3 linked regions of the Schizosaccharomyces pombe genome follow. Changing the gene in region 1 together with any one later gene gives a genetic interaction. Each region holds a gene or a part of one and is shown on either strand. Other genes may lie near its edges.

Region 1 (5,114 bases):
CGTACTTGTGCTCCCAAGTATGCGAAACAAGCATTGAATTTGATGAAGGTACCAATAGATGGAAGTCTTAAGCCGGCTATCGAATTTTTCACTTATGTAAAAGCTTGGCCAGGTATGTCTTTTAATACATTTTTGTCAATACAGAAAATATCAATAATCATATTGCTAACTAGTTATTGTGAAATAGGTAGTAAAATGGATCACTTCAAAGAGATCCACAACGAATCTGGAATTGACTATCGAGAAATGGTGTTTTTTGATGATGAGTCTAGGAACAGAGAGGTTGAAAGACTTGGTGTTACATTCTGTTTAGTTCCTGATGGCCTTAATCGTGCGTCCTTTGAGCAAGGTATAAACAAGTGGAGAAAATTAAAAAAAACTCACTAAATATTCTTTCATTTCTAAAAAATCATATGCATGGTTAATTTTTCTTTTGAAAGAAAAGTTAATCAATTTTGCTTGCATCTTAAGAAAACAACTATCGTGCTTTAACTTATATTTAGAAGTCTCTATTCGAATTGAGATGTATTTTGTTTAATCACAGTATCATTGTTAAAATTGGGAAACACTGATACTACTTTTAATGGGTGAAGAATCAAATTTAGAAATTAAATCTATTAAAGACCTAAATTGCTTCAATCTGTAATATGGGGTTTCTTATGAACTTTCTCTTTTCTTTTTGCAAACTAAGTAAGTATCATATAAATAAATAACAAAAATATATACAAACGGTATAATGTCATATGAGCATAGTTGCAAACCGGTTTAGGAAAACAAAGAACATAACAGAGTAGTTTAATTGATTAATATAATGAATTTTATAAAAATTCTTAAAAAAAATTACATCACTATACACTTACTTTTCTCAAGTAAATATATAATTTTGAAATTATATCTCCATTACATGTTTGTCTAGAAGCATTGCAATATATATAAATCGAAGAAGAAGCAATGTTAAAGTTACAAAGTACGCTCAGTATCCTTTTCAGTCATGTTGCACCAGGCAGCCATTGCGCATTGTTCCGGATATTTCTTTGCTAAAATACTAGAAATACGGCCTAGTGAGGAAAACAGTAAATCAGTACATTCCTCATTAGCATACCTCTTTGACATGTTTTCCATATATGATGTTACGGTATCCAAGTCTTCAGGCCACAAAAAGTTATCATCTTTGCGATAGGATTCCATAGAAGGGTGTGTCAAAAGAAACGATCCGACATGTTCGTTTACGATGTTCATAACTGAACATGCGATTTTGGAAGCGGGAAATTTGAATAAATTAGGTACAAACATTGATGCATCAAGTACTAAGAAAAAAATCGGGTCTAAAACAGGAATATACGAAGCTGGTGTAGGGATTGAGATATCCCAATCAAGAGTATCAAGTATGTGGCGTTCCATACGAATAAATAAATCCTCAGCATAGATGTTTTTACAAGCTAACTTCAGTTCTTGCAATAATGGAACACGGTCTTCTGTTTCATGAAATTTACTGGCAATCCAAAGACAAACACATGCTACTAACTGAATGTGTTTGCAGTATACCACTCTCCTCGAGACATATGAATCCATGAGGGAAATACTAAGCGGAAGAGTATCAATAGACAAGTCGAATCCATTATGTATTTCTACAATAAAATTAACGAGTGCAGGTCGCATTGACCATCTGAGTTCCGGTTGCTGATTAGAAAGATGGACATTCAGCAAAAAATTTTTCTCTCTAGTAATCAGATGATGGATAATGTCTTCCTGGTACTCACCTAAATACCCGTTCATTGATAAACCAGTGAGTAAAGAGGATTGAGTGTTATAAAGTAAGGCGCTAGATTCCGCTGACAATGTGCTAACAGAGTCGACAACAAATGCAGTCTCATTTTTAAGAGAGGGAGATTTGGAATTAACGCCTTTTGGTGAAACAGCTAAAGAGCAAGGGCCCACTGATAGAGAATATGAACAGGCAGCTAATATTTTAGGTTCTATACTTGAAGATGAAGTGGGAGTATGAGCAGTAAGTTGTTCCTCATTGGAAGAAACTAACATACTGGGTAGACAGGTATTTGAAAATAATGAGAAGGAAAGAGTAGAAAAGCTCTTCACAGTCGATGAAGTTGCAGCTCAAAGTTCAGTGAATTATTAAAAAAATGATACTGAAGAAAAAATAATTGGACATAAACAGGCTCAGATTGCTTGTTAAGAGGTAGTGGTCAAAGCGAATAGTGTTTAACTAACTGAAAGCGATACAACGGCGGAAAATTAAGGGACGATTTAAAAAGGAAGAAAAAAAAAGAGTGAGGTGACGATTAAAAAAAAGGGAAAAATTACTGGGTTTTCAAGGACGCTAAAGAGATATCAATAATGGAAGGGGTAATATAAAGGAATCGAAAGAGTAAATTGCAAAGGACTTGTAAAAAGCCAAGACGAAAGAACCCAATAATATATAGTGAAAAAAGGCTATATAAATATTAAAAGAATGCAAAATGAAGCGGAAGAAATTAGATGCGATAAATATATGTTTCCAAAAAGGTTCGGTGAATAGTTATTTAGTTTGATTAACGGATTTCAGAAGCAGACAATGCATTCATACTAATGAAAATATTACAAAGAAACACAAGGTTAATTCCAAAAAGAAAAAAAAAATAAAAAAAAATAAAAGGAAGAGAAAGATATTTAGTAAAATATGTCCATATGCAGCAAAAATAAGGAAATAAATTTCAATTAAACCAAACGATGTATTGCAAAAGAAAAACAAAATTTGGTTACGCTGTTCAAACTTTCGAATTCATTTACAGTGCAGTCAATTTAATTTACCGCAACCTTGATAGGACAGAAATTATAAAAGAACACCAAAAGCTGGAGAAAAGTAAGTGGTACAGACTCTTTTAAAGAAAACAATTCAGTTCCGTCAGCTACTATTTTATAAAAAATGATAAACGGATACGACTAAGAGATCGAATTTGTGAACGATTCGTACCAAGCAATAAATAAAGTTGTCGCTTGTATACCAAAAGCAATTATGGTGTGGTAAGAAAAGAGAATGTAACAAAAAACAAGGCGGAACTGGTAAAGAGATAAATTATGGAAGGTTATAAACGGTGGGCAATCGATATCTTTATAAGGATAAATCTTATAGTGTAGTGACAATATCGCGAATCGGTATCCTTACATTGTGAATGTACAATGTCCATTCTAACTCGTAATTTCTGCAACGTAACTAGCTACTGTTAGTAACAACAACCGGAATTTTCGGATTTGAATTAATTAAGCCTCAAGTGATCTCCATCTTGGTATGGCCGATTCACAAATTTACCATACCAACGATGTGTACTGAAAGCGTAAAGTACTAACACACAATTAATTCAATGGGTCAAGCACATCATGTAAGTGACGACGTAGCCCAAAACTATTCCATTCATAGCACGCCATCTATCAAAGAACTTGAACAAAGAAACTAGTACAAAATTTTGATTTTCAAAAGCGGTTAATTGATAAGTTACTTGCTGTAAATCATATTGGCCAAATCGTGAAATGTACGTACTGCTAACATTGCGCACGCAAGTAAGAAAAAGTGGGGACAAGAAGCAGAGGTAAATCAATTATTCAAGAATGTAAATATTGACCCGTTCGATCATCTACAGCTTTTTTTTTATGAAAATCACGTTATTAACAAAATGGCTGGTGCAATCCAGCTATAACTACAGCTAGATAGATTAACATTAATAATATCGATTTTCTTCACAATAGCATATACCGCAATCTTTATTTTACATAGCAGAAGGAAATAAGCAGCCCAATTACTGTGTGTAAATGTTTATCACTTAGTATATGGATTAAACAAATTGTAAATAATAGTCAAGACTTAAGTCAGTTAATTTCCGATGAAATAATTAATTTTTGAGGAGAATGTGGGGAATGAACATGAATAACTAGCATGGATAAATAGATTCGCAATCAGTGACATAACGATATTTATGAGCCGTCTAGTTTCACAGATAATTCCACCTGGTGGTGCGGATAAAAGTAGGATAGAAAATAACAGAACCAAAACGTTGAAAAACGCATTGCTTGGCTTAAAGGTCATAACATTATTCTATTCAATGGAAAAAAATGTTTGGTAGTTGAACGAGATTGCTTCTCAACGCAATGTTTTATTTTCACTACGAAATGTTCTCATGCTTCTAATCTATGACTTCTACTTTACATGCTGTTGATTCAGGTGGTGTTTTTGTACCAAAGTGGGGGGTCTAAGTCGTTAGTACTATTGTCCTTCTTCTGGTTAGTACTGACAGTTTGTATTACATTTTAAGTGGGATCGTAGTAACTAAATGGGGGTACATAAAACTGGTACTACTAAACAGATTTATCTAAGTTGTGAACAAATTTCAATAAACAAACGAATGTATAATCTCATCGGCAAGAAAATAATTTTTTACGTCAATCACTTATTTCACTTCTTTATTTTATTTTGAATATATCAAATGTAATCAAGTTTAGAAACGTAGACGGGTTCATGTATGAGCTTTCTTCGTTTCATTTGCATATATATCCTTTGTAAGATTCTGTTACTTTGAATATGTTTTCTTTATAAGTTGTAGATGGTAATTGCTACTCTTTAAATACAAGCTGTCTTCTACAATAATTTTAATTTTACCAGAGTATTTTTAATTATCCTCATGCGAGTAATTTTCTAATTATGTGGTGTAACAAAAATAGCGTTCGGTTAAATTTTAGTTCGCCGTGTTAAGTCTATTAATCAAAAAATTTGGGTTCGTAAAATTGTACGCCTATCTGCCTAGAATCAAGTGAAACCATATTACAGGCATAATGCTCCAATCGATAATGGGAATAAACAACTCAGACTTTGGAAATTCACAGCTACATTGCCATAATCATATTGTGGATGGGTGTGTCACCTTGAAATGTTTTATTGATAAACTAACTAGCAACTAATCTATGCTTTTTATCGGAAAAAATAAAAATAAAATAAACTCCTATAATAAAAGACCTTTTTGTACAAAATCATAATAATACCACCCTATTCCAGACATTTTTTTTACGTAAAATGACATATTAAAACCTCTTCGTTTTTTTTAGTACGAAGAAACTCCTCCATCTTC
Region 2 (4,577 bases), on another chromosome or scaffold:
TATGAATAATAACGCATTCATTTTGAATAGGCTTTCAAAGCTGGAAACTAACAATGGGATTTTTTCACGCCTTAAGAGCTTTGATAAGCTGATTGTTGCAGTCTTTGCTTCACAATAATTTGCGTAGCGTTCATTAGTATGGGCAACGAGGATTCGCATTGTCGAGATTCGATTCTGGGGCTTCCCGTCAAATATGCAGCTAGAAACAATATTGATACATTTTCCATTCAACGATATTTTCTCCATCAGTTTCTCGCATGTCTTGAGGGCAACAGATCGAACAGAATCAATATCGTACCGACATATCTCCACAATTCTTAACGAGAATCTGTCAAGAAAATCAACCACAAAATCTTGATCTTTTTCAGGTTCATGAGAAGAAAGATAATCTATTATTTTTAAGGAGATTTTTCGGATTTGTGATTCCTATACGTTCAGTTAGTATTTAAATGATACAGCAGTAGCGATTGTTTATACACTTACTGCATCAGATAACCCCCAGCCAGAATGTCTAATCAAATTTCTGTTTATAAGATAGGTGGGAAGCAATTGGCAACAATCATATAGAGCAGTAACACACACTATACGAATGCTTGCACGTATATCATGAATCCTTGAGAATAGTACACTAGTAAAAAGGTTAGAGTCGTTAAGAAAAGTAGTATTGCCAACCTATCACAAATGTCGTGAATCATGTCAATGAACCTAGATGTTAAGTCTCTCAGTACCAGAATTTCCGCAGTTTGATTTGATTTTTCGGAAAGTTTGTTTACTATAAGGCATAAGCATCGCATGATATCACAGCAAATAGTTGTTGCAGTATGTCTAACAAGCATCCAAGGACTTGTCGTCATGGTAAAAATCCAAGCTTTTGTAGTTTCCATGAATGAGTCTCCGAGGAATGCGTCTTCCACGTAAACTTTACTGATGAATTCGACCAAAAAAAGCTGAAAACGAATACGCACCGTTTTAGCTTCTTTAGAGTTAGAAGTATAAAGATAATCAGTATAAGCGCAAGAAGACTAGCGATATGTATGGTAAGTAAATATTACAAAAAGATGATGCACACACCTTTTGAAAACTTGAACGATTGACCTGAGACAATGTTTCAGGAATTGAATCTACGTCCTGTACATCAAAGTTCGTAACGAAGGGTTGACAACCAGAGGCCTATGAATTAGTTTACGTTTCAAAGGAAGAGTAAACAAAACAGCAAAAGCTAGAAAACGTCGCGGATCATTCCTGCTAAACTTACAACTAATGCGAAATTTATAAAGGTCAGCATGAAGTCAGCGCTATTACTTTTATAGTCTTCAAAATAATGTTGAGAAAGTTGCTCGAGCGGCATATCTATATCCAACAGTTTGACTTTTCGTATGCTTGTTAGAATATATTATCGAAGACTTTTTTTCTCTTATAAGCAAGCAAACTTACGAAAAAATTCTTGTGGAAAGGCATAATCATGAGAATTTACGTGCATCTCTTCATTCGTCTCTATTTCATTATTTTCTTCATTCTCCGTCAAAGAAAATTCATCTTGTGTTCCCCATTTCCGCTTTTTTTCTGAGGGCGAGGCACAAATGCTGACATTCTGTAAACTTGGACCTTCATATTCAACATTTTCAAGCTCCACGCTTTCTAATTCAGTAAGGACTTCATTGAGATGACTGCTTGCATCTGATTCAAATTCGAATCTCATTGAAATCACTCAATTAATTGGTACGATGGTGGTTGGTTATGGCAAAGATTAATCTAACAGAAACGATGGGTTTGTTTACGTGACACGAGTCGCGTCAGTCAGTCATTAATTATTTTGCAGTTCACATACAACCATTGCAATCAAGTATATAATAATTTATTAAAGTTTTACTTTTGAAACATAAAGTAACTAATTTATGAATAAGAACGCGTTTTTACTCGGAATTTCGGGCTTTTCCCTGACCCCTTTTGAGAACCCACCAACTCCTTTTTCTCATTAGTAGTAGCTCGGTATTCCTTTGCAAAGTCCTACTCCAACTTTTGGTTAATACTCTTGTTCGTTGGTTTCATTTGAGATTTTTAGTTCTTGTACTGTTGTAGTACTAATCTTTCTGGTCAATCCAAAAGATTACTTTCCTCGAATCCTTCGTTCAATAGTATCTTCATATATTTGGGTGTAGAGTCATTTTTTCGAATTTTTAGAAGTCGAAAAGCATCTAAATTTTTAAGGATCTTTTCCAAAGAGAAGACTAGGGTTCCTACCTGAGTAAAAGGCAGTTTGAAAACCGACTTTCATCGCATGTCCAAAACTTTCTAAACAAGTGTGTGCTGGTTTACTAATGGACGTTTCGACTCAAACAAGACACGCAACATATTTTCAAGATGAGAATCAGCTACAAAAGGATCACATTTATGTGAAGAAGAAAAGTCACATCAAGTTAAATACGGGTGTTCGTGCACCTTTCAAGGCAGTAGATAACATCAATCAACAAGATGAACCAACATTGATTGAAGGGAATAATGAATCCTCCATCTCTTCGTCCACTGGCGACACTTTTGAAGAGGATTTTGCATACCAGGACAAAGTCGAGATAGAGGAACGGTCAATTCGCTCCACTCCTAAGTCTATTGGAGATGATGATTTGGAAAACCGTGAGGGCAGCTTTGACGCACCTGAAGGAATTCTTACACACGGGAAGCATAGACTACCAACAATTCCCGAGTGGACCAAGGAAGATTTAGCCGCCCTGTCTGAAGCTGCTGCTCGATTACAAGCTAACCCATCGCCTGAGGATATAGAAACTGATCCATCCATGGTACCAGACTATGATCCTGAGATATTTCACTACATGCAATCTTTGGAAAGGAAGCTGGCTCCACCTCCTAATTACATGTCAGTTCAGCAAGAGATTGACTGGGTTACAAGACATATGCTTGTTGATTGGATTGTGCAAGTTCAAATACATTTTCGTTTACTTCCTGAGACATTATTTTTGGCGGTAAACCTTATCGACCGGTTTCTTTCCATAAAAGTCGTATCTTTGCAAAAAGTCCAGTTGGTAGGTTTATCAGCTTTGCTGATTGCCTGTAAGTATGAAGAGATACACCCTCCAAGCATCTACAACTTTGCGCATGTTGTCCAAGGGATCTTCACCGTTGACGAAATCATTAGAGCCGAGCGCTATATGCTGATGCTTTTGGATTTTGACATTAGTTGGCCAGGGCCCATGTCGTTTTTGCGTCGTATAAGTCGAGCTGATTCTTACGATCACGACATTCGCATGCTCGCCAAATATCTTCAAGAAGTAACCTTGATGGATGAAATTTTTATAGGTGCCCATATTAGCTTCATTGCTGCTACTGCCTACTACTTGTCTATGCAGATGTTGGGTCATTTGGATTGGACTCCTTGCCATGTATATTATAGTGGGTACACGGCTCGTCAATTGAAACCGTGTGCCATAATCATTATGGAATGTTTGGTCGATGCCCCTAACCATCACAATGCCATTTACCGAAAGTACTCGGAGAATAGAATGAAGCGAGTTAGCGCCTTTGCTCACAACTGGGTACTAAGTGTGATTTGAGTTTGCTTTCAGAAGTTGTTAACAATGATATTCTGAGTTAGTTTGCTATTATTAAGCCTACGATATTTATTATTACGGATCATTGTCTTAATATTTCCTACAGCAATCACTCGAGGGCATTTTATATCTTACCTAAGGTAGTAGTTTTTCTCCACTCCGTTTGCTAAGTTTGTCGTTTAAACCACCCCTATTATCCCCCAGAGACTTGGAACTACTGTCTATTTTATAACTATCTTTCCGAATTCCCTCTTCCATCTTGTTTTCTATATCTTTTACTATACTTAAATAACGTTACGGGTATCTCTATTGTAATTATTTTTTGATACCCCTTAAACCATTTTTATTTTTTTGGATTAATACCTTTTTAATTTAATTTTGTCCTACCTTTACACAATCGTCTCATCCGACCTTTGGGCATGATCGACGGGTTAATTGGACTAATTGTTGCTACTGATCTTTATGTAGTTAGGCTTAAACTTTATAAATAACATAACTATTTTTACCTTTTCTCTTCATATTTGTTTCACGTCCTGCATTGGTTTCACAAATATTATTGGGAGATCATTGACAGTCCATCACACCTTGTATAACGATGTTTGCACAGGTCTAGTATTTTCAATCTGGTGTATGTTAGTATGCTTTCAGACATCTATTGTTTTGTAAAAATCAGCCATTTGTGGTTCATCCTTAGTAGTAAAGATGCCTATTACATACTTCAAGTCTATTTAAGAACTGAGAAAACCCACTCGATGTTTTTTAATTAAGTATTCATACGTAGTAATTTATCTCATTTATTCATTTTTTAGCAACTCTAAACTCATTGGACACCAACAAGTTATAATTTCAGCAATCTAAGACGTGTTCTATCATCGTTTAATCCACAACAAAACTAACACAATTGTTTTATTAATTATCATCATCTTTGTTTGGCATGTTGATTAATATCGAGGGAATTCAAGCATTTTGTCAGACAATTCGAAATCCTCGTCGAATAATCCCACATGCTACATT
Region 3 (4,053 bases), 2.0 Mb from region 1:
TTTGCTTTGCTTTCCTTTTTTTTTTACTCTACTTTCACAATTCACGTTCCCTTCCCCATTTGCATTCTCGCTGCTATCAACAATTCATCTCTGCACTTGCTCCTTTCTTCTTGGCAAGCTAGAAAAGCGTTCTTGCTTGCTGGATCCTGTGGGTGATTAACCACAATTCCAGAATTTCGATTTCAGCTTTCATATCCCCTGGTCATTAACGCGATTACTCTTACTCAGGTTGTTCGGCTGTCTACTGTGTTAAAGCAATAAAGAAAACACTACTTTTATCTGATTAGAAATCGAACCAAAATTAAAAAATTTATCTTTTATTCATTCTACACAAGTTTGGATTGTATTCTTATTTTTTTTATTTTATTTTTTTTTTAATTAAAAACTTCGAAATTCTATAAACAAACGTTGAATTGTCGAATTTGGATTTTATTTTTTCTTTAACCACCATTTTTTATTCTTACTAATATCCTCCCTTCCACCATCCTCGTTTTCTTTTACATTTGTTTTCCCTTCTTCCTCTTGGATTCTTATCATCTCCCGTGTCTAAAAGTTTCCATCTTACTCGTTTTTCTAACAAAGAAATCACTATTTCTCATCGCGACGAGCATTAGTCATATTTGAGTCGCGTTTCCTTTTCCTCTTTTTTAATTTATTATTTTTTTTTTGTTTTATTTATTTATTCTTTTTCACTTTCGTCTTTGGTTCTTGTTCGCGTCTGCTTTTCCTTTCTTTGTTCTTTCCCCTAGCCTCTTCGATTAGAGATAGATACTTCTTTCCATATCCAAACTTACTACTTCTCTGCTTTTCCCCAATGTAAATGGGAATTACCCTGAACGATTTCTTGTAAATTCCTTTGTGCTTGATGAAAATACTTTTCAAGAATTCTCTTCTCTCGGCTTTTCTTAATTACTCGATTTTTTCATTTTACATTCACAAATCCATATTGCTGTGCATACTTATTGACATTAGGTGAACTCATCTCTTTTTTCCCCAGTCCAACTCTTCCACCTAAGTCTATTGACTTACTCGCAAGCGTTGATTGTCGATTGTGTTTCCTTCTCATCCCCTCTCTTCTTTTTAAACCGAACATTCTATTCTCATTTTTACCTCAATTTGGAAAGGATATACTACTAGGTAAAAATTAATTCTACTTTTCTCCCCCATCTTTAACCGACTACTGACCTGTACATTTTCCCGATTTCTCTTACTGTTCCTTTGGAAAATCGTTGTGTGTCTTGTTTGTACGTTGATCTTTAGAGTTTCCTTTGATTATCTTGAGCATTCTTACTTTTTATTCCCTGCTTAAAATACTAATCATCATTTTTCCCGGTTTTTTATTCACATTCCCTTCTCACTTCCATTCGTTGTACTCAAAAGGACCTGTGCTTTTTAATCATAAACATTATATATTATTCGTTTTAACTCTTCCTTCCACAATTGCATTTCCCCTTTTCTTTATTAATTTTGTTTCTTGCATGTTGGTCGTTTTCTCTGTGATTGGCGTATTCGATTCTCTTTTTCATTCTTCGTTGTCGTATTTTTTACCTGCTTACAATTGAAAAAAAAATTTTTTTCTTGTAAATTCCCTTATATTATTAAACCTCAAACGATCAAGATAAAACCTATCATTGTGTTATTGACTATTTTCCTGTTTATAACGATCTTTGTTTTTTTTATCATTGATTTTAGAAGACATTAGAAAATCTAACCTTTCTCAAAGTTTTTTTTTTGTTTCGGTTGCAAAGTTCTTTAAGCTATTCAAAACTTTATCATCCGAAATACTTATTTTCTATTTTCTTATCTAATTTTCGCCATCAATTGGGACTTTATTTAATTTATCTTTACTAAACATTAGATGATGCGCGAAAATCCAGAACTCCTTTTGGGTCAGGTCTTGGGTGATTCTTTACGATTTGTTTCTATCATCGGTGCCGGTGCTTATGGTGTCGTGTACAAAGCAGAAGACATTTACGACGGTACCTTGTATGCAGTAAAGGCTTTATGTAAGGATGGCTTAAATGAAAAGCAGAAGAAGTTACAAGCTCGCGAACTTGCCTTACATGCTCGTGTTTCTTCACATCCTTATATTATTACATTGCACCGCGTGTTAGAAACGGAAGACGCCATTTATGTCGTTCTCCAGTATTGTCCGAATGGCGACCTTTTTACTTACATCACGGAGAAAAAGGTATATCAAGGGAATAGTCATTTAATTAAAACCGTTTTTTTACAGCTTATTTCTGCTGTTGAACATTGTCACTCAGTTGGCATATATCATCGAGATCTTAAACCCGAAAACATTATGGTTGGAAATGATGTAAACACCGTATACTTAGCTGATTTTGGTCTGGCTACTACAGAACCCTATTCAAGTGACTTTGGATGTGGTAGTCTGTTTTACATGTCTCCAGAATGTCAACGGGAGGTGAAAAAACTTAGTTCGCTGTCAGATATGCTACCGGTAACTCCTGAACCTATAGAATCACAATCATCCAGCTTTGCTACAGCGCCAAATGACGTCTGGGCTCTGGGAATTATATTAATTAATCTGTGTTGTAAGAGGAACCCTTGGAAGCGTGCATGTTCTCAAACTGATGGTACTTACCGTTCCTACGTTCACAATCCATCAACCCTTTTATCCATTTTACCCATCAGTAGAGAGCTCAATTCTCTACTCAATCGAATTTTTGATAGGAATCCCAAAACCCGAATCACATTACCCGAACTTTCCACGCTAGTATCAAACTGTAAGAACCTTACACGACGTTTACGACCTGCTCCCCTTGTTTCATCTCGTTATCTCGCATACCAACAACAACAACAACAGCAACAAATGAATTTGCAACAAGGAATTCAAGGTTACCCTCATCAAGGCTATATGCCGACTCAAAACATTGGCTTTCCCTGGCCTCCGACTCCCCAGTTTGTAAGTAATTGGAATCATTGTGCTACTCCAACGATCCCTGTCTCCTTACAAGTCCTTACACCAAATTCTTCACTTAAAGTAGATCCGACTACACCTCTTACAGCACCTATTCATGCAACCGAATCATTCTGGCCTTCTGCCGCAGCGGCGGCAGCAGCTGTCCATAACAATGCTAACTCATATATGCCTATTACACCCACACCCTATCCGAATAATGCAAAAATTTTCGGTTATCCTAATCAACCTCCGCTGACTCCCATACCTTTTACTGGATTCGTTTTGCATCCTGCACCAGTTGGTCGTGCTGCTGATGCCGTAGATCCATCTCGAAAATCGCTCTAAAGTTACTTGCTTCTTTTTTATATTCGCTACCGCACGTTGTTTTGTTCAGGGTTACTGCAAAACATTATAGAGGGCTTTGACTGCCCCAATAATTATTTCTCGGGATTTGAATTTTAACATTGTGTAAATAGCTAACATTTTATGCACTTGTTTTATACTTATATTTCTTCTTTTTTATATGTTTATTATGATGGTAGCATTATCTTTTTCTGTTAACAACATTGATGAATTTTTTTTGCTTGTGGTTTGTTCTTTAAAACAAAAATTTTTTTATAAATATATACTTAAAAAAAAAAAAAAGAAAAGGTAGACGAATGGATCGTTTTAACGACGGTTGTAATAGTAAATTTAAAGAGTTTAGAGCATGAAGCATGCAGTCATATTGTATCACCGCTATACTCGAAATGTTGAAGAGATAAAGCAAACTAAGCTTTTGGAATACGAAGATAGAAGGATATTATTCATAACTTGTAATAATATTGTTAAAAGTTAAAATATTAAATTAAATTTATAGATATCTTCTTGTAAATTCTAATATTACAATATTTTTACTGATATTTTTAAGCAATTATTATATCAAATATCGTTGTGTATATAGAATATTTTTTGGACAATATTTTCAAAAATAAAGATATTGTTAAGTTAAGTAAAGATATATTTTAGTAAAGGATGATAGAGAAAGAAATTAGAAAACTAGGTTTGAAGATGCAATTAAATTATAGCAATAATACAATTATAAGTTTCCTGTAAGGGGACAAATTTTACTAAACTTTGTTATTTAT

Evidence for each region. Genes that interact genetically often act in the same process or in processes that back each other up.
Region 2: of puc1 (region 1) and cig1, changing one enhances a phenotype caused by changing the other (phenotypic enhancement), as found in Schizosaccharomyces pombe (3 studies listed by BioGRID, with this or other methods).
Region 3: of puc1 (region 1) and pat1, extra expression of one rescues a mutant of the other (dosage rescue), as found in Schizosaccharomyces pombe (2 studies listed by BioGRID).

The regions. Positions count from the first base shown.
Region 1 is NC_003423.3:3,698,613-3,703,726, forward strand, and holds puc1 (G1 cyclin Puc1), read right to left. Parts: upstream 3,078-5,114; 5' UTR 2,041-3,077; coding exon 961-2,040; 3' UTR 586-960; downstream 1-585. Other genes in the region: SPOM_SPBP8B7.31 (acid phosphatase), read left to right, coding at 1-112, 188-307, 361-425.
Region 2 is NC_003421.2:1,225,227-1,229,803, forward strand, and holds cig1 (G1/S-specific B-type cyclin Cig1), read left to right. Parts: upstream 1-1,999; 5' UTR 2,000-2,318; coding exon 2,319-3,566; 3' UTR 3,567-4,077; downstream 4,078-4,577. Other genes in the region: meiotic cohesin complex STAG protein Rec11, read right to left, coding at 1-426, 484-628, 673-1,022, 1,072-1,170, 1,256-1,368, 1,435-1,699; cardiolipin synthase PGP phosphatase domain-containing Gep4, read left to right, coding at 4,498-4,577. UniProt on the Schizosaccharomyces pombe protein: Required for efficient passage of the G1/S transition.
Region 3 is NC_003423.3:1,681,003-1,685,055, forward strand, and holds pat1 (serine/threonine protein kinase Ran1/Pat1), read left to right. Parts: upstream 1-1,858; coding exon 1,859-3,271; 3' UTR 3,272-3,553; downstream 3,554-4,053. UniProt on the Schizosaccharomyces pombe protein: This protein is a negative regulator of both sexual conjugation and meiosis. It phosphorylates mei2. It blocks the onset of meiosis until conjugation takes place.